2 linked regions of the Cricetulus griseus genome follow. The protein of the gene in region 2 purifies or fractionates together with the protein of the main gene of each other region. This does not show direct contact. Links are inferred from orthologs where the notes say so. Each region holds a gene or a part of one and is shown on either strand. Other genes may lie near its edges.

What was found.
Region 1: the proteins of Rab11b (region 2) and Pi4kb purify together in Homo sapiens (co-immunoprecipitation; 3 studies listed by BioGRID and IntAct, with this or other methods). This does not show direct contact. The link is inferred for Cricetulus griseus from reciprocal best matches to the Homo sapiens genes RAB11B and PI4KB.

Annotation. Positions count from the first base shown.
Region 1 is NW_023276806.1:61,522,575-61,534,705, forward strand, and holds the start of Pi4kb (phosphatidylinositol 4-kinase beta), read right to left. Parts: upstream 8,045-12,131; 5' UTR 7,905-8,044; exon of another isoform or gene 7,870-7,904; intron 1-7,869. UniProt on the Homo sapiens protein: Phosphorylates phosphatidylinositol (PI) in the first committed step in the production of the second messenger inositol-1,4,5,-trisphosphate (PIP). May regulate Golgi disintegration/reorganization during mitosis, possibly via its phosphorylation.
Region 2 is NC_048598.1:95,212,715-95,224,845, reverse strand, and holds the start of Rab11b (ras-related protein Rab-11B), read right to left. Parts: upstream 8,055-12,131; 5' UTR 7,936-8,054; coding exon 7,896-7,935; intron 1-7,895. UniProt on the Homo sapiens protein: The small GTPases Rab are key regulators of intracellular membrane trafficking, from the formation of transport vesicles to their fusion with membranes.

The sequences.
Region 1 (12,131 bases), on a different chromosome or scaffold from region 2:
TAAGTTTAGAATATTTTGTCAGATGATTCTGGCTTCAGAATCTGGAGATAGCCATCAGTAGACTTAAAGGCCTCTGCCTAAATAAAGAGAGCATCTAATGCACCTCTAGCTGGGCATGGTGGCACATACCTTTGATCCCAGCACTCAGGAGGCAGAGGCAGGTGGATCTCTGTGAGTTGGAGGCCAGCCTGGTCTACAAACCAAATTCTAGGACAGCCAGAGCTACACAAGAGAAATCCTGTCTCCAAATAAACAAACAAAAACATAAAAGGGAAAGTAAGTCATTTCTAAGTGTTTTAGGACACTATTTTTTGTTCTAGTGAGGCTAGGGTAGCTCTACTTGGGTGAGTAGAAAAAGGAGTCCCTGGTAAGTTTTCTGGTCACTCTGAAGAACTTTTATTTCTTTTTTCTCCAGGCAAGGGTTTCATGAATTTCAGGCTGGTCGTGAATTCACTTTATAGCTGAGGATGATTTAAACTTTTGATACTTTTGCCTTCATATCCCAAGTGCTAGGGTCAGAGGCATGGGCCACTATGCCTGGTTGGATTTAGCCCAGGGCTTCATACGTGTTAGGCAAGCAGTCTACTACCTAAGCTACATCTCCAGCTGCAGAAGCCCTAACTTTCTACCACCTTCCTTCCATTGATGGTTTCACCTCTGAAATGTTAAGTGGCAAGGTTACTTTCATTTGCCCAATATCACACAGTTCAGTTCTCTGCCTCCCAGCAGTTAGTACCAAAGCTTTGCAGAAAGACTCTTAGATATCAACAAAAAGGGATACTGCAGTTCATCTTTCTCCCAACTCTGTCAAGCAAGAAAAGTATCACTGCACTTCCTAATGAAGTCTGAGCTTGGTATCGGTGAGAAGGTGGCAGCCTTTCTTTCACTCTGCTCTCTTCTGAGCAGTAGAACCAGCATGGCTGCATATGTGGATCTGCCTCTAATCACAACTGTGGACTGCACAAGAATAATAATACAGCAGCTCCCTGCCACACCTCTGTAGGGCATTCTCATCATTGGTACCTTTACCTTTTAGGTCTTCTAGCCTCCATCAACCCTGTTCAACTAATTCTTTTTTCTCAGTATCTGTATGCCTGGCTCATCCTTTTCTTTCCTATTCCAGACACTTCTAAACCACAGAGCTCCTAAAAGTCTGCTTTTCAAAACCTTAAAGGGGATCTGGTATAGGGTGCAGAATTATAATCCTGGAGAGTCAGAGGCAGGAGGATCAAGAACATAATCATCCTCAGTTATATATATCAAGTTCAAAGCCCAGATTGCGTGGGATAACCTAAAAAAAAAAAAAAAATTAAAGGGGTACTGAGAGTATAAGCTTAGAAGCAGAGTATGTGTTTAACATGCACAAAAACAACCACTGGCCTGTTTAATCCAGAGGCAAAGTTCAAGGCCAGCCTGGTCTACAAAGCGAGTTCCAGGACAGCCAGAGCTGTTACACAGAGAAACCTTGTCTCAAAAAAACAAAGCAAAACAAAAACACCATCCCCCAAACTTCCAAGGGAAATAAAGTTGAAGTTCAGTCCCCCTCACACATGGAGCATCTTGGACTTCAAAGGAAATAATTTTCTTGTCCCAATTAATTGGAATTGTGTTCATTACTGGCACCAGGAAGGCAGGTAAAGATACCATCACCCTATTATCCCATAGGCAAAAGAAGACAATCTTCCAAGGCTCAGCAAGGAATCCCACAGTGAACAGACTCCCCCACCTGCTCAAGAAACTGGCTGATATCAACAGTTGCAGAAAAAGTCAAGCATAGGACAGGTAAGATAGGCTCAGGGAATAGAAGCACTTTCCATGCAAGCCTGGTGACCTGAGTTCCATCCCTTGAGCCTAAGGCAGAAGGAGAGAATCAAGTCATCTAAGTTTTCCTCTCACCTTCACATTTATGGTGTGGTACGTGTGTACCTCTCTGTCCTCCACCCCCCCTCATACACACACACACACACACACACACACACACACACACACACACACAATTTTTTTTTAAAGCAGGGCATGGTAGTATATGCCATAATCTCAGCACTTGGGTAGTAGAGATAGGAGGATCAAGAGTTCAAAGTCATCTTCAGCTACTTAGTGAGTTGAGCCCAGCCTGAACTATAAGAGAGTATTGTCAAAACTAAAACTAAAATCAAACTATAAAAAACAACCTCCCCCTCCCAAACTAAACCAAATAAAAAAAGCAGGGCAGATAAGCCTAACTTCTATTTTATACAAGCATCTCTATTTGGCTATATAAGCATACCACCTGGCTCTTGGGGACTTGGGACTACAAGTCAGAGAGAATAGTCAGATCATATTGGCAATTAAGATAATAGAAATAGAAACTGAAAAGATTGTTCAGATGGGAAAATGCTTGATCTGCAAGCACAAGGACCTGAGTTTGATCTCCAGAACCCATGTCAAAAAGCCTAGCATAGTAACATACAATTGTGATCTCCAGTGCTGGGGAAACAGAGACAGGAAGATCCTTAGGACTTACCGGCCAGTCAGTTTATTGTACTTAGCCAGTTGCAAGCTAAGGAACTGCTGTCTTTTAGAAAAAGTTGTTGGGGTGGTGGCGGCACATGCTTTTAATCCCAACACTCAGGAGGTAGAGGCAGACAGATCTCTGTGAGTTCAAGGCTGGCCTGGTCTACAGAGAGCTCCAGGACAGCCAGGGATACACAGAAAACCCTGTCTCAAAGAAAAAAAAAAAAAAAAAAAAAAAAAAAAAAAAAGGTTGTTGGTCAGCATTTGATGAACAACATGAAGTTGTCTTCTGGCCTCCACATGTATGTATGTACACACAAATAAGCATATATGGGCAGAGACACATATACATGAGTAGCAGAAATAAGGTATTCTCCAAAATCTAATTCAAATATGATTTTCAACATTAATCTCTTCATCTATACATACAATGAAAATAAACCTTGGAGCACTAACTATTCTGGAGAAAGTAAAAGGATTAAGATGTAGCAACAAAAAAGGGAGGAGAAACAAGTCCTGCATTTATCACTCTTCTTCCTACAAGCCGTAGCATCCATACAGCTGAGGATCTACGTCACACTGGGAGTCTAAACTCTCCATTAAGACAGACTGGAGGGGAAAAGAAGAGGCCTCCTTGTCTGAGCCTAGCAGCCTGGCTACTAGGAAAGGAGGAGGGGGCTGGGGAAAGATCAGAGCTTAAAGTGTTGACAACTGTACCCCATGGAACAGGGCAAGGTAGGCATGATGGGTAACCTTAAATCAACTTCATAGAATTTAGAGTCACCATGGAAACAAGTCTCTGTATGCATGTCTTCGAGGGACTTTTTAGATGAGTTTAATTGAGGTGATTAATATTGGAGATTCCATTCCATGGGCTGTAGCCCAAGACTGGATCAAAAGGAGACAGTAAGCTAAGTATGACCAACCATTCATGGCTTTCTCTGTCCTTAAGGCAGACACAAAGTAACCAGCTGTCTCACTTCTGACACAGCTCCACCTACTGTGATGGACTGTAACCTCAAAACTGTAAGCCTAACAAACTTTCCTATAAGTTGCTTTTGTCAGGCATTTTGTGATAGCAACCAGAAAAGTAACTAATACAGTAGAAAAAGTCTAAGTATCAGGGTACAGAGCAGCTTCTGAATTGGCAGAGAAGGTAGCAACATATGAGCTTTGTGGGCTTGAGCAGTTATGTCTACAGGACTCTGGAGGGGACAGTATCCCTTAACCAGGATGTCTTCAACAGAGCACCTCAAAAACTTTGTGCAGGCAACCTTCACAGAAGTTAATGAAAAAGGTCTTCATGAAAAGACTAATTGGACTGGCCTTTCAAGAAAGATGGTACCAAACCAGGCGGTGGTGGCACATGCCTTTAATCCCAGTGCTTGGAAGGCAGAGGCAGGCGGATCTCTGTGAGTTCAAGACCAGCTTGGTCTTCAAGAGCAAGTTCCAGGACAGTCTCCAAAGCCACAGAGAAACCTTGTCTCGAAAAACAAAACAGAAAGGCAGGAAGGAAGGGAGGGAGGAAGGGAGGGAGGCAGGGAGGAAGGAAGGAAGGAAGGAAGGAAGGAAGGAAGGAAGGAAGGAAGGCACCAAGTCCCAAATCAGTCCCTTACTCTATCACCATTACTTCTTCAAATCTTTTACCATGCATGATAAATGTGAACTGCTTCACACCGATCCTGATGCTTTAACATACTCAGAATTTCCACAAAGTGACTGGTTATGTTTTGTTTTGTTTTTTTTTTTTGAGACAGAGTTTCTCTGTGTAATAGCTCTGGCTGTCCTGGTATTCACTCTGTAGACCAGGCTGGCCTCAAACTCATCTGCCTGCCTCTGCCTCCCAAGTACTGGGATTAAAGGTGAGCACCACCACCACCTGGCACACAGAATGACTTTTTAGAACTCATCTTGTGTAGGGCTCTTCTTCCAAGCAAGCAGGCCAGCTCAATTTTCTTTCTTTTAAGATCCTCTGAGATGGGTCACAGAAATGGAAAAGAAGATAAAGGAGCCAGTATCTTACTGTATGAGGTGCAGTGAAAGTTAATGGAAAAAGAGGGTTTACCTAACATGAGCAAGACTCTGGGTTTCAATCCCCAGCAAACCCAATCCAAGTTAGTGGAAAAGAAAGGCTCAGATAGAAACAAAAATATGTCATAATTACCCAAACAAGTATAAATCCTCTACAACCAAACCTCTAGAGTTAAGAACAAGTGTTATGAGTGCTATGGTAATAAGCTTTGAATAGAACTTTATGCTGAGATAATTACAGAAGCTAGCTCTGATTTGAGGGAGTATGAGTACAGATGAAGGGAGAGGGACTGTTAGTTTTGATCATAAATTCCTACAATCCTATTGAATATCACCAAGTACATGTACTCCTTTAACAGCAATTTTTAAAAATAGGCTGCTCTTCAAAAGGGGCCCTGTCTCATCCTAGGCTGCTTGTTCTGCTGTTAAGAAGTTCCTTGCTGGGGCTGGAGAGACAGCTCAGCAGTTACAAGCACTACCTGCTCTTGCAGACGATCTGAGTTCAAGTCCCAGCACCCACAGAGTGGCTCACAACAATCTTTAACTCCAGTTCCAAGGGAACGAACATCCTCTTCTGGCCTTTGCAGGTAACAGGCACATATGTGGCCCATGGATACATAGGCAGGCAAAACATCCATCAAAATTTTTTCCTAAAAAAGTTCCTTCCCATGTCTTAAGGTCTATTATAAATCTTTAAGAACTCAGCTCATCTTTTCCCTTTCACCTTAATGGTAAAGGAAGAATGATTTCTACATTTTTTTCTGTAGACACTCTGGATTGAGCAGTCCAGCAAGCTCAAGCCCCACCAGGAACCAAGTATGCTTGCCCAAGGTCTCAAAGGAGGGTGGCATCAGGGAAGAGGGCATTCTCAACTACGGCCTTGGGGGAAGGGCAGTGGTCTCACAGTAGTTAGGTCAATATTGATCAAGCTGAGAACTCTGTACAAGGCCAGGGAGCAGGTAGAAGCAGATTCCAGCCAGACAGCCCAAGCCTGCTCCAGGAGCCCCTGATGAGACTGACAGCTGGGAAAGGAAGCAACCTGCATTGCTCACCTATCTCTGAACCAGTCCTCCTTGTTTAAGTCCCAAATGTGCTTTAGACTAGGTCCTCTTTTGTCCCAGGCCAATTACTGAAAGGATACTCCCAAACCTCTTTCCCAAACCAAAGCAGCTCTCAGTTTGCTATATTAGTGTTCAGGAAACATGTACTTATGCAGTGTGGAACAGATGAGAAGTGAGGAAAACTAGAGGTATGATTTCTGGTTAAGGATGCATCTAAGGAGGGACGGTCTCCCATAAATGGGGATCATTACTAGATTGCACTTCAAGTAATTTTGGGGTAAGAAGTGGGCCAACATGGTATAACCATTTTCTTTTCTTTCTTTTTTTTTGGGGGGGGCAGTTTGAGACTGGGTTTCTCTGTGTAACAGCTCTGGCTGTCCTGGGACTCCATTTGTAAACCAGGCTGGAACTCAGATCCAAATTCTGCCTCCCAAGTGCTAGGATTAGAGGTGTGCCCCACCACTGCCTGGCTTGTATAACTATTTTCAGACCTGAACAGTCCTAGAGAGGGAAGAGGAATAGCGTGCCTGTGCCATCTTCATTATCTAAGGTTGAAAGAGATGTGCAAGACAAAGCAGCATCTAGTTAGCTGCTAAGTCCAGCATGCTCCTACCTTCCAAGGGCTCTTCTACAAACACATTTCTGACCACAAAATTTGGAGTTATGGATCAAGTTTAGAAGGAAAGGCACAGGTGTGATAGAAGAAAAAAAAGGCAGGGTTGAAAAGTAGCAGGCCAGGAGCTTGTGTTTCAAACTGATTTTATACTCAGAGAGATCAGAGAGATCAAAATATCAAAATAAAGGGAAAATCTCAAGATGACAAAATCACTAGCAATAAATACATTTTGCCTAAGAACCTGCAGTGTTTTATAAATTAAAAAAGTATAATTCTTCTCCCAAAAGACATCCTGCTACTAGCCTATTATTGCACTGGTACTTAAAGAATGGGCCATTTTTCTCAAAAGAGAATTTTCAAGTTCAAGTGAGGAAGTTACATGTTGAACCAAGAATCCTGAACATGCCGGCCCTTTACACCATCTCATGTTCCTTTTCCCAGACACACACACACAACTTCACCCATTAGGCCAAGTGCTTATGAAACTAACCAACACTATTCCACTAGACTTCGTCCAGTAAAGTAATGATTTGGTCTAGACAGGAGTAGTAGATACTATCCTGTGACCTAACCAAGTCCCAAAATAAATAATCTGAAGCAAAATTTCTCATAACTTCATTCAGCTTCCACGAAGGCCTGTCATTCTCTCCTAGTGGTTGCTCCTAAACAGTCAACGAAATATAATGTGATTGATAGCGACTTCTTGAAAAGTTGTTCCATCCTTCATTAACACATCTGTCCACAAAAGCCGGAGACAGCTGAGGCTCCCCTCCTCCCAACATTTTCTTCTTAGTTCAAGGTTTAGCTGATCTGAAATAAGTGATGTGTGTAGATAAAGGGTGTGATAGAGGCCACAGGGAAAACAGAACCCAGGGAGACAAAGATCGACAAAATCCTGGAATGGGGATTTTTGTGTGTGTCACAAGTTGGAAATCCCTAATCTGAAGGGCTGTTCACATCACCTCTCTTTCCTACAGGAACCATCCTCCGGAGGCCTGGGGATTGAGAAAGGGGAAAAGAAAGCCAAAGATAGCTACAGGTATCATCAGGCACCCCAGAGAAGTGTTGAGCACTAAGGTCAAAGTAGATGGGATCTTGGACACGATGACAACGGTCTGAGAGCCTTCAAGAAGGGAATTGGAAATTCTTGGAAGCCAGGAGCTGGGGGAGTGGGTTAAGGTGAGGTAATGGAATCGGAAGCACAAGAGAGGGATACGATCTCTAGCTGAGGGAAATGGGAACTCTGTGCTGAGGTTGCACAGACTACGAGGAGTGGGGAGAAATAGGAAAAGGGATAAAGGCGGACCCCATGGGAAAGATTTGGGCGCAGAAACACAAACGGCGAGGAAGGGCAAACAAGGATGGACATTGTAGAAGGGGTGTAATGTGGAAAAGGTTCACGGCTTAGAGAACTAGTTAAGGGACAGAGGCAACAGGGGAAAGAAGTGTGTGGTGGTGGTGGGGGGAGGTGGAATCCACGGGACAGAGGGAGGGGCTAAACAGAAGAGGAAGCCAGAAAGCAGAGAAGACGACCCCGGGCCCGAGAGAAAGAGTGAAGAACCTCAGGGTGCAGCTCCCACTAGGAGGGCAGTTTTGTAGTCGAACCCAGGTGGCTGTAGGCTGTGCGGGACAGGATGGCAGAAGGACCCTCCCCCCGCCCCCGCCCCCAGGCAAAGGCGACTCATGGGGGAGGAGTCGCTTACCTCCGGGGGACCCTCGCGGAGAGGGTGCAGGCGGTCGGGGTCGGACTGCCGACACCGCCGCCTCAGCAGCAGCGGCCGCTCCCGGGTTCCATTGGCCGCCTTGCGCTTCCCTGACAGCGGCCGCGGCGGCTGCACCAGGCCCCGGCTGCGGGGCTGCCCGCGGCGCCGCCTGAAAGGGCCTTCACGCTGCCTCAAGTTGGAGCGGACCTCACAAGCAGGACCCAAAATAACAATTCTTCTGCGGGTTTCGATGTAAGAGTCTCCTGGGCCCGAGCCCTTCTTCCCCGGATTTGCCTTCCTACTTCCCGGACTGTCAGGACACTACCGATGCCATAGTAATCTGAGTCGGCCGAGCTGCCCGAGTCACGCCTGTTCAGAAACGAAAAGGGGGCGGGGAAGAGCGATTTGGAAGCGGGGGAAGGGGCGGGGAAGCAGGGAGGAGCGTCTCAGTGGAAGGAGGGCCCGGGGTTTGAGGGCGGACCTCAGAGGCAGGCTTTGCTAAGGAAGCCGAGAGGGAAGTACTGTGGGCTGGATAAGTGGCACGATGTGGATGTACTGATATTTTACGTACTTCCACAAGTATACCAACAGGCAAATTATATGTAAATAATTCGTTTGTATAAGCCACCGAGTTACTGTAATTGCCATCAGTGACTTTTTCTCCTTCTCCTGTCCTACAGGATATCCCTTCGTAAATCAGCCGGTGGGACCCATGATGGAAGGCCAGAAAACAGATGAGAAGGGACCAGAGAGGAGGACAATCGCCCTCACTTTCCTTTTCCTACTCATCTTTAAGGACGATGCCAAAAGTATGCCCCTGTAGCTTCAGGAATGGCGCAGTCCAACCGCCTCAATCTTTCACCGTTAGCAGCAACACTCTGGGCCAAGGTTCTGCTTCCGAGGTCACCCCGGCTTGGGCAGCCTTTGGCCTCCAGCGTCCAGTCGCCTAGACCTGAGAGGCTGGACAAGCCAGGTTAGGAGAGGTGAGTGAAATGACAAAGGCTTAGAGGACATATCACTTTTTCCAAACCAAAGAAAACCACGTGCGACTAAACAGACATAAGCAGGCCTCTGGTGTTGGTTTTGTGTTAATTTGTTCGTTACTATTATTGAACCTCAGAATCACTGCCCCAATGTAGTCTTTTCCTGAGACTTTTCCTAGTATCTAAGGCCCTTACTAGGGGTAAGAATCTTAATATTCTACTGGCAGCTGGTTGAACCTAGATTTTGGATGCCATCTTCACTGTACTTACGAGCTGGTTGAGATCGTTCAGTTTCCTTCTTTTCTTTCTTTCCCTTTCCCCTCTACCCCCTCCCACCAGTCCCCCTTTTTTTTTGAGACAGTATATTTTTTTTCCAGGCCGCTGTTAATATTCCTTGGTTCAAGCCACTGGCCTGTGGAGTAACTAGGAATATATCCATATGCCCCCCACCCCATGCTAGACTAAACCTCAGCTTCTGTATAACAATGACAATATTATAACAATATAGTAACAATAATGCCTGATGTAATATCATTTTCCAAGGTTTGGGGAGGTTGGGGAATATCAAGAAAGTACTATAATATTACATGCCTGTTGTTAGAACATTAATACAAGTGATGAATGTCCCTGCTTCAGTGTTCAGTTGAGAGACAGATAGAGAGCTGTAGCTTGCGGAGGCTGAAAAGATGGCTCAATGGTTTCGAGCACTTGTTACTCTTGGAGAGGACCCGGGGTTCAATTCTCAGCACCCACAGGGTGACTCACAGCCATCCATAGCTCCACTTCCAAGGGGTTCAATGTCCCCTTCTGATCTCTGTGGGCACCAGATACATACATACATACATACATGCATGGAGGCAAAACATAAAATTAGATAAAATTAGAGCTATAGCTTGAAATGCCTGCTTAAACCTGCAGCAGGTACAAAAGTAGAACAGTGGAGTTCTTACTTGCTGTAGACACAGGGCAGAACCTTGTTAAACTGACACAGAAGGCCTGGCTGCGTACTCTATGGTGAGTGAATGGCAGGCTTCATATGAATACTGCAAGGCAGAACTTAGGAGAGACACTAGATAGTATCCAATGGGATAAAAAAGAAAGAGCATTCAAGGGTAAAAAAAATTACATACTGAACAGTAGGAATGTGAGTTTTTCAGATCACGAGGACAGGACAAACATAAACTAGGCTAAAGGGGAGGATTGCAGTAATGGAAGATAAGCACAGCAGAGCAACAGGGTGCCAAGGCCGGCTTAGATCTGTCACTGTGGTAGGTAGTCGCCATTCCACCTGTCAGGACCCTAAGTCATCAGCTATATTAAGAAGTGGTGAGCCTGTGCTAGCCTAGAGTTTAAATGTTACGGATTCCTTAAAGACTGGGATTCCATGGGGCCGCAACACTAGTCTTTATTTGGTTTTTGGAGACAGGATCTCTCTACATACCCCTGGCTGTCCTGGAACTCATTATGTAAACCAGGCTGGCCTCAAACTCAGAGATCTGCCTGTCTCTGCCTTCTAAATGCTTGGGTTAAGGATATGTGCCACCATGCTGGGCTAAAATTATTCTTTAAATATTATAAAAAGAGGTATGACAGGCTGGATAGATTAAAACAAACAATACAAAATGAGGCATAAAAGCCCTTTTTGGTTTTTTTGTCTTGTTTTTTGAGACAAGGTTTCTCTCTGTAGCCCTGGCTGTCCTAGAATTCTATTTCTAGATCAGGCTGGCCTTGAACTCAGAGATCCACATGCCTCTTCATCCCAAATGCTGGGATTAGAGGTGTGCACCACCACAACCAGGCTGAAAGCCCTTTTTATAGTAGGGTTTTTCTTAATTTGTGTTTGTTTTCTGAAACGGGGGTCTCACTATAGCCTGGGTTAATCTTTAATTATAAAGCCCATATTAATTCTAAACTTGCATCAATTCAGCCTTCCAAATGCTAGGATTATAGGCCTGAGCCAGTACTTTTGGCAGGATTTTGTTTGTTTGTTTGAGACAAGATTTCTCTGTGGCTTTGGAGGCTGTCCTGGAACTAGCTCTTGTAGACCAGGCTGATCTTGAACTCAGAGATCCGCCTGCCTCTTGCCTCCAGAGTGCTGGGATTAAAGGTGTGTACTAACACTGCCTGGCTGAAATTTTGTTTTTGTAAGACAGGTCTCTCTCTCTATAGCACTGCATGGGCTGGAACTCACTGTGTAGACCAGGATAGTCTCAAGCTCACAGAGTTCGACCTGCCTCTGCCTCCAAGTGCTGGGATTAAAGGTGTGTACCACCCTACATAGGTGAGTTGTGTTTTGTTTTTAGTAATATATTTGTTACATTTTAATATACAAAATAATGGGTTTTATTTATGACCGTTTAGTTTTGTTGCTGGTTTTGAGATAGGTTTATCTATGTAGCCCTGGCTATCCTAGAACTCACCCTATAGACCAGGCTGGCCTCCAACTCACGGAGATCCGCCTGCCTCTGTGCCTCCACTGCCCTGCCCATTTATGACATTTTTATGAACACAGAGAGACAAATACGTGTACATACTCATATTTACAGCTTTACTTTGCTCACTCTCTCCCATAGCCACCCCTTCCTTTTCACTTGTTTGCTTTTGAGACAGGGTCTCATGTATCTGGGATTAGCCTAAACTCCCCAGTTTCCTTCCTTTGCCTTCTCAGGACTGTAATGAGAGCCACGCCTCCACAACCAGCCTGCACCTCACTTTATCATTTGTTTTTGAGGCACTTAGGTAGACCAGACTATGTATATAGTGATCCTCCTTCCTCAGCCTCCTGGGATTTTTCCATTGACAGAAAAACAAGACTTCAGGAATTGAATATCTCTATTCAAACTGAGGATTTTATTTCAAAGGTAGCAACTTTTTTGAGCTGGTGAGTGGCTCAGTGGGTAAAGTGCTTGCTACCAACTCTGATTGCCTGAGTGTGAGTACCCAACTTATATGGTAGAAGGAGAGGAGTGACTCCTGGAAGTTGTTTCTGACCTCCATGTGTGCTCTGTAGCACATACACACACACACAAAATAAATAAATGTAAAAAGAGGTAGCATTGTTTATAGCTACAGTCAGTGGTAAATTTTTAACCAAATGAGTCCGTTCTCTCATGTAAGTACGTATAGAATTTAGTCATGAGTAAGTAAAAAGCATTTGTTATGTTTTCTGTTTAGCTCTACAGGCTCAGAGTTGTCAATTTTTTTTTTTGTTGTTGTTGTTGCTTTGTTTTCTCTCTGCTCATAC
Region 2 (12,131 bases):
TGCAGCAGCCCTGAGAGCCCTCCTTCTACACTATTTCTTCCTATGCTTCAGTGACCCCATACTGCCTCCCCATCTTAGAGCTGCTGCAGGCTATCCTCCTACCTGAAAATATAAGAGAGTTACAGGACTGGATTCCCCAGGTAACCCTATCCAGGCTTTTGGCTGCAAACACTGTCTTAGGCTGGTGACTCCTACATTAACCTCCTTTCTGCAAGCCCAGACTGATGCACCCTCTGCTTTTATATCCCCAGACAGAGAGAGACCTAGCACTTAAAGTCGGCACAACAGAAGAGTGTCCTGGTCACTCAATCAGCTCACTGGGTACCACCCCCACCTTCCCTAGCTTAGCCAATGGCTCAGTCAACCTGGAAGGTACTGAGGCCAACCAGTCCTTTCTTCCTCTCAGACTCTAGGGTCAATTCTGCAGTCCCTTCGTAATTGAAGGGACACTGCAGGGCACTTCTGGGGGCCAGTAATATTCTGTTTCCATGTGGGTTCAACAAGGTGGCTTCAGATAGTGAAGATACTTTCCTTTGAGACAGGGTCTCATGCAGCCCAGGTTGGCCTCCAATTCACTATGTAGCTGAGGAATACCTGTATTACTGACTGCCCTACCTCTCCCTCTCAAGTGTGGGGACACGGGCATTCCCCACCATGCCTACCTGGTGTATGTGATGTTGGGATGGAACCAGGGGTCTCATGCCTTCTAGGCAAATGCTCTACCAATTGAACTACATCCTCAGCCCTGTGTGTACTTGTCTATATGAACTCAGTTGCTGGACAAAGTGTGTGTGTGTGTGTGTGTGTGTGTGTGTGTAAGAGAGAGAGAGAGAGAGAGAGAACATGCATGTGTGCATGTGTGTGTGTCTAGTTCCCTGCTCCTTGCCACCTTCAAAGGCCAAGCCACCACCTTACACTGTTATCATACTATCAGTCTTTTCTTGAGGTCCCAGCCAAAAGCTTGTATTCCTCACAGCCGCAAGAAGACATCTGTGAGCACTACAGCTAGACTGTCTGCCCTGGGCAGTGCCTCAGAATGGCTCCTAATTCCCTAAGAATCAAAGCGCAGGTCCTCCCCAGGGCCCACAAGGCATGGTATTACATGCTCTGAAGCCTCTTTCTTTCCCTTCCTCAATCTTCCACATGCTCTAGCCAGCTACATCGGCTCCTTGCTCTGCCCGGATACATCAGGCACAGTCCTGCCTCAGGACCTTTACACAGGCTACTCTTTCTTTGGCCCCTGCTTCACCTCTTTGTGAGCCCCTTAGATGCCACTTGGTCAAGAAGACCCTCTCCACAATCCTATTATAATCATACTTTCCCAACCCTCCCCATTCTCTGCCCTAGTGTTTCTTCCATAGCTCGTGAAACCCTCACATGTGTCTGGTTTCGCTCTTTTCTTTTTTTGTGGCTAGTCTGCCCCATAAGCATGGATCTTGGATAGGCGTGTTCCCTGATGTATCCTCAGGCCTGGCACAGGGCCTGGCACACAGTAAGTGCCAACAAATATCTGTGGAATGAATCAGCACACCCCTGCCTACCTCATATGACCCTAGACATGCCTACAACACCCTGGGAAGATGCCCAGGTCACCCCCCTCAGGTCGCAGGTGAGGATGGGGCAAAAACAGGGATCCCAACCCATTTCACCTTCTGGGCTGGTTGCTTTAGAGCCAAGAATAATAAGACTGAGGCAGGCATAGTGATACATGCCTATAATTCCAGGACTCAGCTGCAGCACCAGAATCATGAGTTTAAGGGCAGCCTGGGCTACATTTTGAGTCCCTGTTTCAAAGGACAAACAGTACTGATGATACTGCTCAGATGGCAGAGCACTTGTCTAAACATGCATGAAGCCTGGGTTTGATCCCCAGCACTGCATTAAACTAGATGTGAAGGCAGAAGTAGTTCAGGATCATCTCTGGCTACATAGTGAGTCTGATGCAAGCCTAAGCTTCCTGAGACCCCCCAAAACAAAACAAGCCTGATATGGTGGCTCAGGCCTTTAATCCTAGCACTCAGGAGGCAAACCCAGGCCAGCTAGGGCTACATAGTGAGACCGTATCTCAAAACAACAAAAAACTCCACAAAAACAAAACTACAAAAACCAACAAACAATCCAAAAAACTAAACAAAACAAAAACCACAAACAGATTCATATGAGAGGGACAAAAAGAGGCTGCAGAGATGACATATATGGCCTCACACAGCCCATTTTATAAAGAAGGAAACTGAGATTCAGACGAGAGATGGGGAACCCAAGACATTGTATGACCAGGAGCATGGAGGCAAAGCAGGAGTCAGGGTCTGTGTTTATCTGCAAATTTGCCCCCACCTCCCAGTCACTTTCACTAAGCAATCCATGTCCAGGGCAACTTGCTTGGGAAGTCATCTAGGCAGGATGTGAACTCAGGTCTCTGGAACAAGGTCTTTCCCTTCCATATCAATCTCACATCTTCCAGGCCATTCTCCCCTCATCCCTGGCATACAATTCAGGGGTCTTGGTTCTACCTCCTGGAGGCAGTGAAGCCCAATGCACCTCAGCCTGCCTATCTCCCAGCTTCCCACCATGTAGGCATCCTTCAGGGACAGCCAACAAATCCCTGCTCATCTTTCAAGATCCTATAGTCTGTGAGATCCTTCACTTAGTTCAGGTTTCTCCTCTCCATGCAGACTATCATATGGCCTGGACCACAAGACATGTAATGACAGGCTCAGCATCCTCCTGAGCCGCTGTGGGTACTCAGTATAAGAAAATCAAGTTCAGAGAAAGAGGTGATGATAGACAAGAGCCTGTAACCCAGAGCCAAGGATTCCCCAGCATGTTGGCTGGGGCAATGGCTGGCTGCTGAGCCATATGGAAACAAGCTAGACTGTAGGAGTCACTCTCCATAGCATCTATCCCTCACATCCTTCCCACAGGAGCTGCCATATGGAAACAAGCTAGAGTGCAGGAGTCACTCTCCATTGCATCTATCCCTCACCTCCTTCCCCAGGAGCTGCTTTGCTCCTTATTCTCACGCCCACAGGAATGACATGGAAAACTTGCCCTGCTCAGGAGATCTCTCACACCCTCTGTCTTCTCAGCCTTGCCTCTGTTGCATAGCCTCCAGAAATTGTGACCATGGCAGCTGCACTGTGACTAGGACTGAACTTTGGGTCAAGCTTGTGCCCAAATGCCTCACTGGCCTAGGCTTAGCAAATTCTCAGAGCCACCCCAGGGACAGACACAATGTCAATAATGCAGCTGCATTTAGGGACATGCAACCCAGAGACAAATTACCAGTGCAAGGTTACCCACTGAGAACAAGAAAGCACAGACCAGGTTGAGGGTCCACAGACTATGCCCAGCTGAACAGCAGGAAGGCTAGGTTGTTCAGGCCATCCCTGGCACTGGGTACCTGATATACCAGGGTGGTGATTAGGCTGCCTCTGCATGTAGGATGGGTGTGAAAATGGCATTGTCAAGAAAAACAAGTGACCAGTTGTCTTGGGAAAGTAATAAGACCTTGAGGACACAACCCCCAGCATTTCCAAAGAAGTCTGTGGCTTTGCTGGCCGGGAAATGGTCCCCCTGGATATGGCATTTGGCAAGCTAAGCAGGCAAGCCCAGTTGGCAAAAACAAAGATCTGGCAACTCTCAGGAGCCCTGGATGCTCTAGCCTGTCCTATGACAGGGTAGCACCCCTAGAGCCTTTGATGTTCAGGCTGACTGAGCAGCTATTCAGTGTAGGGAAGAAGGTGTCCTCTAGGAAGTGGGCACTAACCATTCCAGGTCCCAGGGACTGGCACAGGGGAGCATTCTTGCCTCAATTATTCTTTGGGGCAAGTGGGAGTCACTAGCACAGCACAGTAGGCCTGGTAGGCATGCTGCCTAGCTTGGTGTACTTGACAGAAGGATGTAAGTTCTGGGGCTAGCCCTGTTCCTGGGGTCTAGTGATTTCTATGTACTTGGGCAGGGGTGGGTACAACCCAAAGAACAGGGCCCCTGTGCTTCTCACATAATCTATGTCCTTGAAACCTGGGTGGGCACTAACTGGCTGGGAACTCTGGGAAAAGCATCTGAGGATGGGGCCCTAGGTGATCCCAGTGTGGCACTCCTAACTTAAGTGTTCCTCAGAGGAGAAGTCAGGGGTATCCCTGGGGATACACCAGGAGGTTGGGAAAATGGCCAGCAGCTAACAGGAGAAAATGTTGGGAGAAAAAACGTGAGGATCTATAATTAGGTACAAATAAACAACCTCACTCCTGAGAGAGAGGAGACTATTTGCAGAAGAAAACAAATGGCATGTGGCCACCTACTCTTGGGACCTCTTGGCCTTCGTCTTAAGGTCAAGGGAGCCAATGTGTAATGTGGCTGCCAAAAAACGTGAGAGAGAGGGGGGGGGGGAGAGACAGAGAGAGACAGAGAGTGTGTAGGAGCTGTCTCTAGCAAAGACTTGTGGCCCTCCATGTCAAGGAAAGGTGGGAAAGCCCAGGATGGGGACAGGCAAGGCTGGTTGAGCACAGGGAATCAGGGGTGGATGAGGCACCAGACACTATCCTTTCTGAGTTTCTAGAGGTTGCAGAGAGAGCCACATAGTGACAAGATCAGTCCTTTTCAACACTTCTGGTGCAACTGTAGATTTTGTTTTGTTTTGTTTTTCTAGAGACATGGTCTCACTACGTAACCTAGGCTGGCCTTGACCATATCCTTTTGTCACTGACTATGGGATGCCTCTCCAAGACCGACCAGGTCACTACACTTGTCATGAGGGACTGGCAGGTACAGTGATTTCACATTCTGGGGGACCTGCCACATGTAGGCAAGTGATGTGATTGATGATAGTGGTTTGCCTGCTGCTATCTCTCTTCCCTTTTAATTCCCCAGCACTTCCTTTTCTAATTTAATGGCTTGAAAATCTGAATGAAAAGGACAAATGTTAAAGGGTCCTCAGATGAGCTCTAAGGAATGGAGAGTAAACCTAGGGTGAGCATTAGTGGGATGCTGACCTTGGGGGTTAGGCAGCTACTACAAACTGAAGAAGGCAACTGCCAGATCAGGAAAGGAGGCCAGTGGGGTGGGCAATAGGGCAGGCAGACACTCCCTCCAGCCAGCTGCTGCAGGAGCTGATTGGTGTTTCCAGGAAGTGAGCTCTGGAGACAAGTACCAGGAATGGCAATGGCGCTTCATCGCCCCTGACCTAGTAACTGCACTTCTGGGAATGCACATCAAGGAAACAGCCCACAGGGCACAGAGAGGACTTGACTTGGGCACACATTCAATGCCAAGCTATTTATAACAGCAAAAGGTCGAAAACAAGCAAGGAATGACCACAGATGCTCAATGTGTTGACTTGAAGGGAAAAGATTCCCTGTCCTGCCTGAAGCTTCCTCAGGGTAGGTTGTGTGGGGACAGGTCCTTGCCATTTTAGGGCCTGAGTCTGTTCCACCCATCACCAGAAAGCCCTTCAAATATTTGGTCTCCAAAAATCCTTCCAAATCATCCTCTGCCTCTAGAGTGATACCTGGAGCCTACACCTGCTAATCACTTACATCTGGACACAGCCCACTACCAGGCCATGGTGCTATGTGGTTAACTCTGCATCTTTGCAGACCTCTGTCTCTGCCTAGGAACCTTTTGTCACATGGCTATCCCTACTACCTCCACAAACCCAAGATGCCAAGGCTGGCTTTAAGCACCAGGACACACTCCCAGAAGGGCAACTGTGTGTCCCTTTAGTGCTCAGAAATTAGCTCAAAAGCAGCCACTGTCTGGTGGGGAGCCTAGCATAAACAGCACAGGACCAAAAAGCCCGCCTGGCATAGAAGGTGTCATCATGCCAGAGACCCCTAAATATGTTCATCAGAGAAATGAGGGACCCCAGTGACATGGGGGGTGAGGTAATATAGTATGTTTTATTAAAGCTTGCCTGAGGATTCAGAAAGCAAGTAAGCCTCAAGCTACCGAGATCAGGCAGTGGTGGTACACACCTTTTATCCCAGGACTCAGGAGACAAAGGCAGATGGATCTCCCTGAGTTCAAGGCCATCCAGGGCTACACGAGATTGAATCAGTCTAAAAGAGTAACAGAGCCAACACCTTTAATCCCAGGACTCATGAAAGGTTATTTAGACAGGAACAGGGTCTCAGAGCTGGCATTCATTCTCCAGCCACACTGAGGATAGGAAGACATTGGAGTCTAAAGATTCTCTAGCCTCTCGGAAGAGAGCAGAACAGTCTGGGATTTCAGTATGAGGTTTGGTGGAGCCAGGATTGCCTTTCAGCCTGAGCTATAAGAAAGAACTAATAGCCAGCTGCTTTGCTTTTCTGATCTTCAGCTTAAAGTTTGAACCCCAATATCAGTCTCTGGGTCTTTTATTGATCATGCTACAGGTAGGAAACTCTTCCAGTGGGTTGGATGTGTATGTGTTGAGGGGAGGTCTGACACCTGTTTGTTCCAGATCTAAGCTGCAAAACTTGCCCCAAAGCTCATACCCTAAGTGGCAAAAACTCCCTAAACTGTCCAGAGCTCAATCCTGCTCCTCCCTCAGGAACTTGTCTCTCTGAACTTCAGTTTCCTTCTTGTTTTGAGGACAGGATATGGCTATGTAACTGATGTTATCTTTAAAAATTTTTGTTGAGATAGGGTCTCACTTGGCATTCCACCACACCTAGAACTCTCTATGTAGACCAGGCTTGCCTGCCTTGAATTTCACAGAACTGTGTGTTTCAGCTCCCTCCTGAGTACTGGAACTTAAGGCAAGTGCCACCACAGTTGGCCAAATCACATTATTTATTCTGTGTGCTGTATGTGCGTGGGCTCATGTGACATGGACAGAGGACAACTTGCAGACTCTGTTCTACCATGTAGGCCCCAAGACTGAATTCACGTTATCAGGCTTGGCAGCACACACAAATACCTGTTGACCTATCTCATCACCCCCAGGTTGACTTTGAAATAGAAAAAGATCCTCCTGACTCCAACTCTGAGTAATGGGATTTCAGGTGTGCACCACTTACAAGCATGTTTCTTGGATAATATGGACTGTATAAACTGATAAAGAGGATTAAAAGGAGTCATTAATGTAAAGTCTCAGAACAGTGTATGTACTGGCCCAATGTCATCCACGTGTTTTTTTTTTTTCCTTTGAGTTCCAGTAATCCAGGCTGGCCTCTGCACTTCTGATCTTCCTACGTCTGCCTCCCAAGCGCAGACCACCCAACGCCTGCACCATCACACAAGGTTTATACGGTGCTGGCGATAAAGCCCGGGGCTTTGTGCCTGCTACTGCTAGGCAAGCTCTCTCTCTACCAACTGAACTACATCTCCATCATTTACTCAGAGTTTGAACTACCGCTGCACACACAGGCACCATCCCACCCAATTCCAAGGCACCACAATTTAGGGCTCCTGCACCACGTGACCCAGGCCCCACCCCCCCCAAAGGCAGGCCCCGCCCCTACCAGTCCAGGCCCAGCCCTAGAAGTCTCACACCAATCAGGCTTCCTGGGCACGCCCACAATGTTCTTCAACTGCCCTAACCCCATCTATAACCCCCCGCTGTCAACGCTTTCAACGCAGCCCGCCAGCCAAACCCAGGGAAGCCCCGCCCCTCATGGAGCCCCGCCCCAACGGCCTCGCCTTCCACTCCGGGCCCCACCCTCTCCAGGGCCCGGCCCCGCCCCGGTGCATCCGGGGTCCACAGGCCTCTCTAAGCCTCCCTCTTCTCACTGCTGCGGACTAGGGCCCGAAGCCTAGTGAGCTCGGCCTGCCGTGGCTTCCTCCGACTCTCTACCCGGGATAGGGCCCCGCTGAAGCCTGGGGCTCCACCCTGGACCCTCTCGCCCCGTACTGCGGCCTCGACCCTCCCGTCGCTACCGCGCCCTTGCCCGCCTGTACTCCACCGGGCGCACCTTTGAATAAGTAGTCGTACTCATCGTCCCGGGTCCCCATTGTCCTGGCGCTTCCGGCGGGATCGGCGACTCCGCAGCCCCACCACAAACACCCGACGGGGGCGGAACCGGCGCCGCGCAGAGCGGCGGTCCGACGACCAGTCAACGGCGAAAGCGGTAGTGACAGGCACCCGAGCAAGCCAATCAGACTTAGGAGCCGAGCTCAGGTGGGTGGGAGCCTCTTGGGATCCACCCTTCTAGCCCTCGGTCTCATGGAGAAAGGCGGAAGGAATGCGGACCTTTCCGAAGTGACAGGCTCAGGAGCCTATCAGAAGCAGAGGGGGGAAAGGCGGGGCGGAAGACTGGAACAATGAAGTGGATTGACAGAGGGCGTAACCAATGAGGGCCTGCATTCAGAATCGGCTTTCCCCGGACCTGTCGGGGAAGGGAAATTGAGCTCCCTCCAGGTGATGTTAAGGACTTTAACGTCCTAATGACATCATAGGTCAGTGCGTCTGCCCTGGCTTCTTACCCTAGCCCCATAAACGACCATTTCCGGGTGTGTGTGTGTGTGTATGACGACTGCGGGAACCTTCTCTGGGTGGTAGTCCCCCAATTCTTTGTTTAAACCTAAAGCTTATGTCAGTACCTCCCAAACAAATAGGGATCCTAGACTTCTTTATTTGCTCCTTTTCTCAACAAATTAAGTCTTCTGTTTTCTGCTTTTCATCAGTACTCACTTTTTTTTTTTTTTCTTTTTTAAAGACAGGTTCTCACTAAGTAAACCTGGTTGTACAGGAATTAGTGATGTGAATCAGACCACACCTGTCTGGTTTTCTTTTTTTGAGACAAGGCCTAATGTTACTCTGGCTGCCTTTAAATTTGCTATGTTATTTATGGATTACTTTGAACATTTTTTTCCCCTGCCTTATTTGGAGCACAAGGTCTCGACTGTGTAGCTTCAGCTTGTCTGGAACTTGCTGTGTAGAACTCAAGAGATCCACCTACCTCTGCCACACACAAATGTACTGGGATTAAAAGACATTTGCCACCACATCCTGACTTTGAATTTGTGATCCTCTTATACACTGGTAACTTAGAAGTTACCTCTCTGATCTCATTTTCTTTCTCTGCTCATGTGTTCCTGAGATTATGTGGATTGTTTCCTTAAACACATACACAATTAACAGTCTGCTTTGTGCCATGAAGTCTTTGTTTAACAAATATTCAGAGGCTGGGCAGAATACTAAGGGAAAGGAATGCAGCTTAATTGTATTTATTTTACATCTATGTATGTATGTATGTTTTGTTTGCATGTTGTGCACTCTGTGCATGCAGTTCCCCGTAGAGGCCAGCCCTGAGACTGAAGATACAGACAGTTGTGATCTGCCATGTGGGTGCTGGGAATCAAACCTGAATCCTGTGTAACAACAGCCAGTGATCTTAACCACTGAGCCATCTCTTCAACCCACAGCTAAATTAATTAGAATTCAAAGGCTTGGTTTCAATCCCCAACATTGAAGTGGGGAAAAAAATTCTTACTGGCATGGTAGCAGATGTTTAAATTTAAAAGCTCCTTTGGAACTGAAATGCTCAAGCAATAGAATGTCTAGTATGCACAAATCCTGAGTTTGATCCCTGGCACCTCTTGAACTGGGTGTGGTGGCACATGTCACTAGAACTGGGGAGCTGGAGGCAGAAGAGTCAGGAGTTCAAGGTCATCCTCCACCACAGAGGTAGTTTGGGGCCCTTATTCAAATAAACAAAACCAAGCCGGGCAGTGATATCGCATGCCTTTAATCCCAGCACTCAGGAGGCAGAGGCAGGCAGATCTCTGTGAGTCCCAGACCAGCCTGGTCTACAAGAGCTAGTTCCAGGACAGCCTCCAAAGCCACAGAGAAACCCTGTCTCAAAAACAAACAAACAAACAAACAAAACCCTTTTGTTAAAATGTGCTAACTCCTCACTTAGGCCCTCAGGATAATAAAGAGAAAGATGAAGGCCTGGTATCTCTGTCTTCATTTTTTGTCTGTCTCATTTGTTTTGGATAAAGGCTCCTTGACTACAAAGGCATGTTAATCACTCAGGAGTGTTTTGTCTACCTAGCTTATGATTCTGGAAGCACAAAGTGAAGTCAATGACTTAAAATCTATGATCACCTTGGATTCCAAGAAAAACAAAGCCTCAACTTATTTCCCACTTCTAGATAAGGGCAAGTATCTATGATGCAAGCAAGGCTTCACCACAGAGCAGAAGTGACGTCTTTACAAAGGGGACCAGTCTCCTTTCTTTGGACCACCTTGAAGAACCAGAGCAGAGATAATGGTTGATGAGATCACTATTTGACTTTGACTCCTTAATCATAAATGCTGCTTTCTTTCTTCTTGTACATATGTGGTATATACATATGTGCACGTTCATATGTGGAGGGTGTGTGTGTGTACAAGCTTGTGGAGGTCAAAGGTTGATGTCAGGTGTCTTCCTGAATAGCTACCATCTCAGATTTTGAGCACTGAGCCTGAGTCTCACTGATTTGGCTAGATGAGCTGGCTAGAAGGCTCCTGAGATCCATCTGTCTTTGACCCTTAAAACTGATGGTGTTAGTTAGTGCATCCTGCCACACCTGGCTTTGTATGGTGCTGGGGATCCAAACCCAGGTCCCCATGGTTGCACAGCACTGTCCTCTCCCCATCTCTAGTTATACATACCCCTTGATTCAATTCTGCAAATCATCTAAAGCTGATGTCAGTACCCCAAAGTTAAGTCCTTTATTTATTCTTTTCCCTACCATATTAATTTAATCTCTTTTCTCTACTTTTTATTATTTTTCATCTTTCTTTTTAAAGTGGTTTTTTTTTTTTGGAGGCAGGGGTCTCTCTATGTAGTCTTCCTTGTCCTGGAACTCACTTTATAGACCAGGCTAGTCTTGAACTTACAGAGAGCCGCCTGCCTCTGCCCCAGTAGTGCTGGAATCAAAGATGTATAGCCTTGTGGTGGTTTGAATAGGTATGACCCCTATAGACTCATGTGTTTGAGTGCTTGGGCTACAAGGAATGGTACTATTAGGATATATGGCCTTGTTGGAGGGAGTATGTCATTATGGAGGCAGGCTTTGAGGTCTCATATATGCTCAAGTTATGTCCAGAGTGGCATACAGTTCACTTCCTGTTGCCTTCTGCTCAAAATGTACAACTTTCAGCTCCTTCTCCAGCACCATGTCTACCTGCATGCTGTCATGTCCTACCATGATGATAATGTATTAAACCTCTGAAGGTAAGCCAACCCCAATTAAATATTTTCCTTTATAAGAGTTGCCATGGTCATGGTGACTCTTCACAGAAATAGAAACCCTAAGACAGTCCCCATACCCAGCTAAAGCATATGTTAATGCCATGGGGTACAAAAATCTATATAGGGGATTAAACAGGGTAAGAGGGAAATGTTATATTGGAAACTGGTGCTGTAACTAGAGTTGTGTTGGGGAAACCCAGGCTCTGATAGCCCAACAGGTAAGGTTAGCCTACTTGGCCCAATTAAAGAGATAGGTGAGAAGAATGCTTGCTTAACAGCCACCAAAACCTGTGTTCCATCACCAGAAATATATATATATATATATATATATATATATGAATATAGTAGTTAGGTATGTCTGTAACCCCAACCCTTAGTAGAGACAGGAAGATAAGAAGTTCAAGGTCATCCTCAGGTGTATAGCAAGATCAAGGCCAACAGGAGTTTCATGGGACTCTTTCAAAAAAAAGATGAGTCAGGCAGATCTCTGTGAGTGCAAGGCCAACTTGGTCCACACACTCAGTTTGGAGAGAACATAGACTCTGTGGGTGGGGGGAGAGGTGTGGAGAGAGTTTTTTACTTTTGTGTTTTTCTTTTAATGTACAAAATGGTGTTTTGGTTTACTTTTGGTGTGCAGTGAAAGTATCTGACATCTACTCTCAGGAAAGCTGTGGCATACATTGCAAATGTATTTTCTGTCTTTCACAATGTTTCTAACCACAAAATATGCATCACTTTTCTGGTCCATTTAATTTCTTATTTCTGTTTCTAGCGATGAGGATCAAACCTAGGGTCTATAGGCAAGTACTTGGCCACTGAGCCGAGCCCCCCCCCCCCGCCCGCCCCAGCCCTCACTTAAGTTTCTGTAGCATTACCAAAGTATCAGTCCCAAGAGGGCAGGGCCTGTGTGCACATCATTGCTGTAACCTTGTGCTAAACATCTGTTGAGTGAAGAATAACATAAAT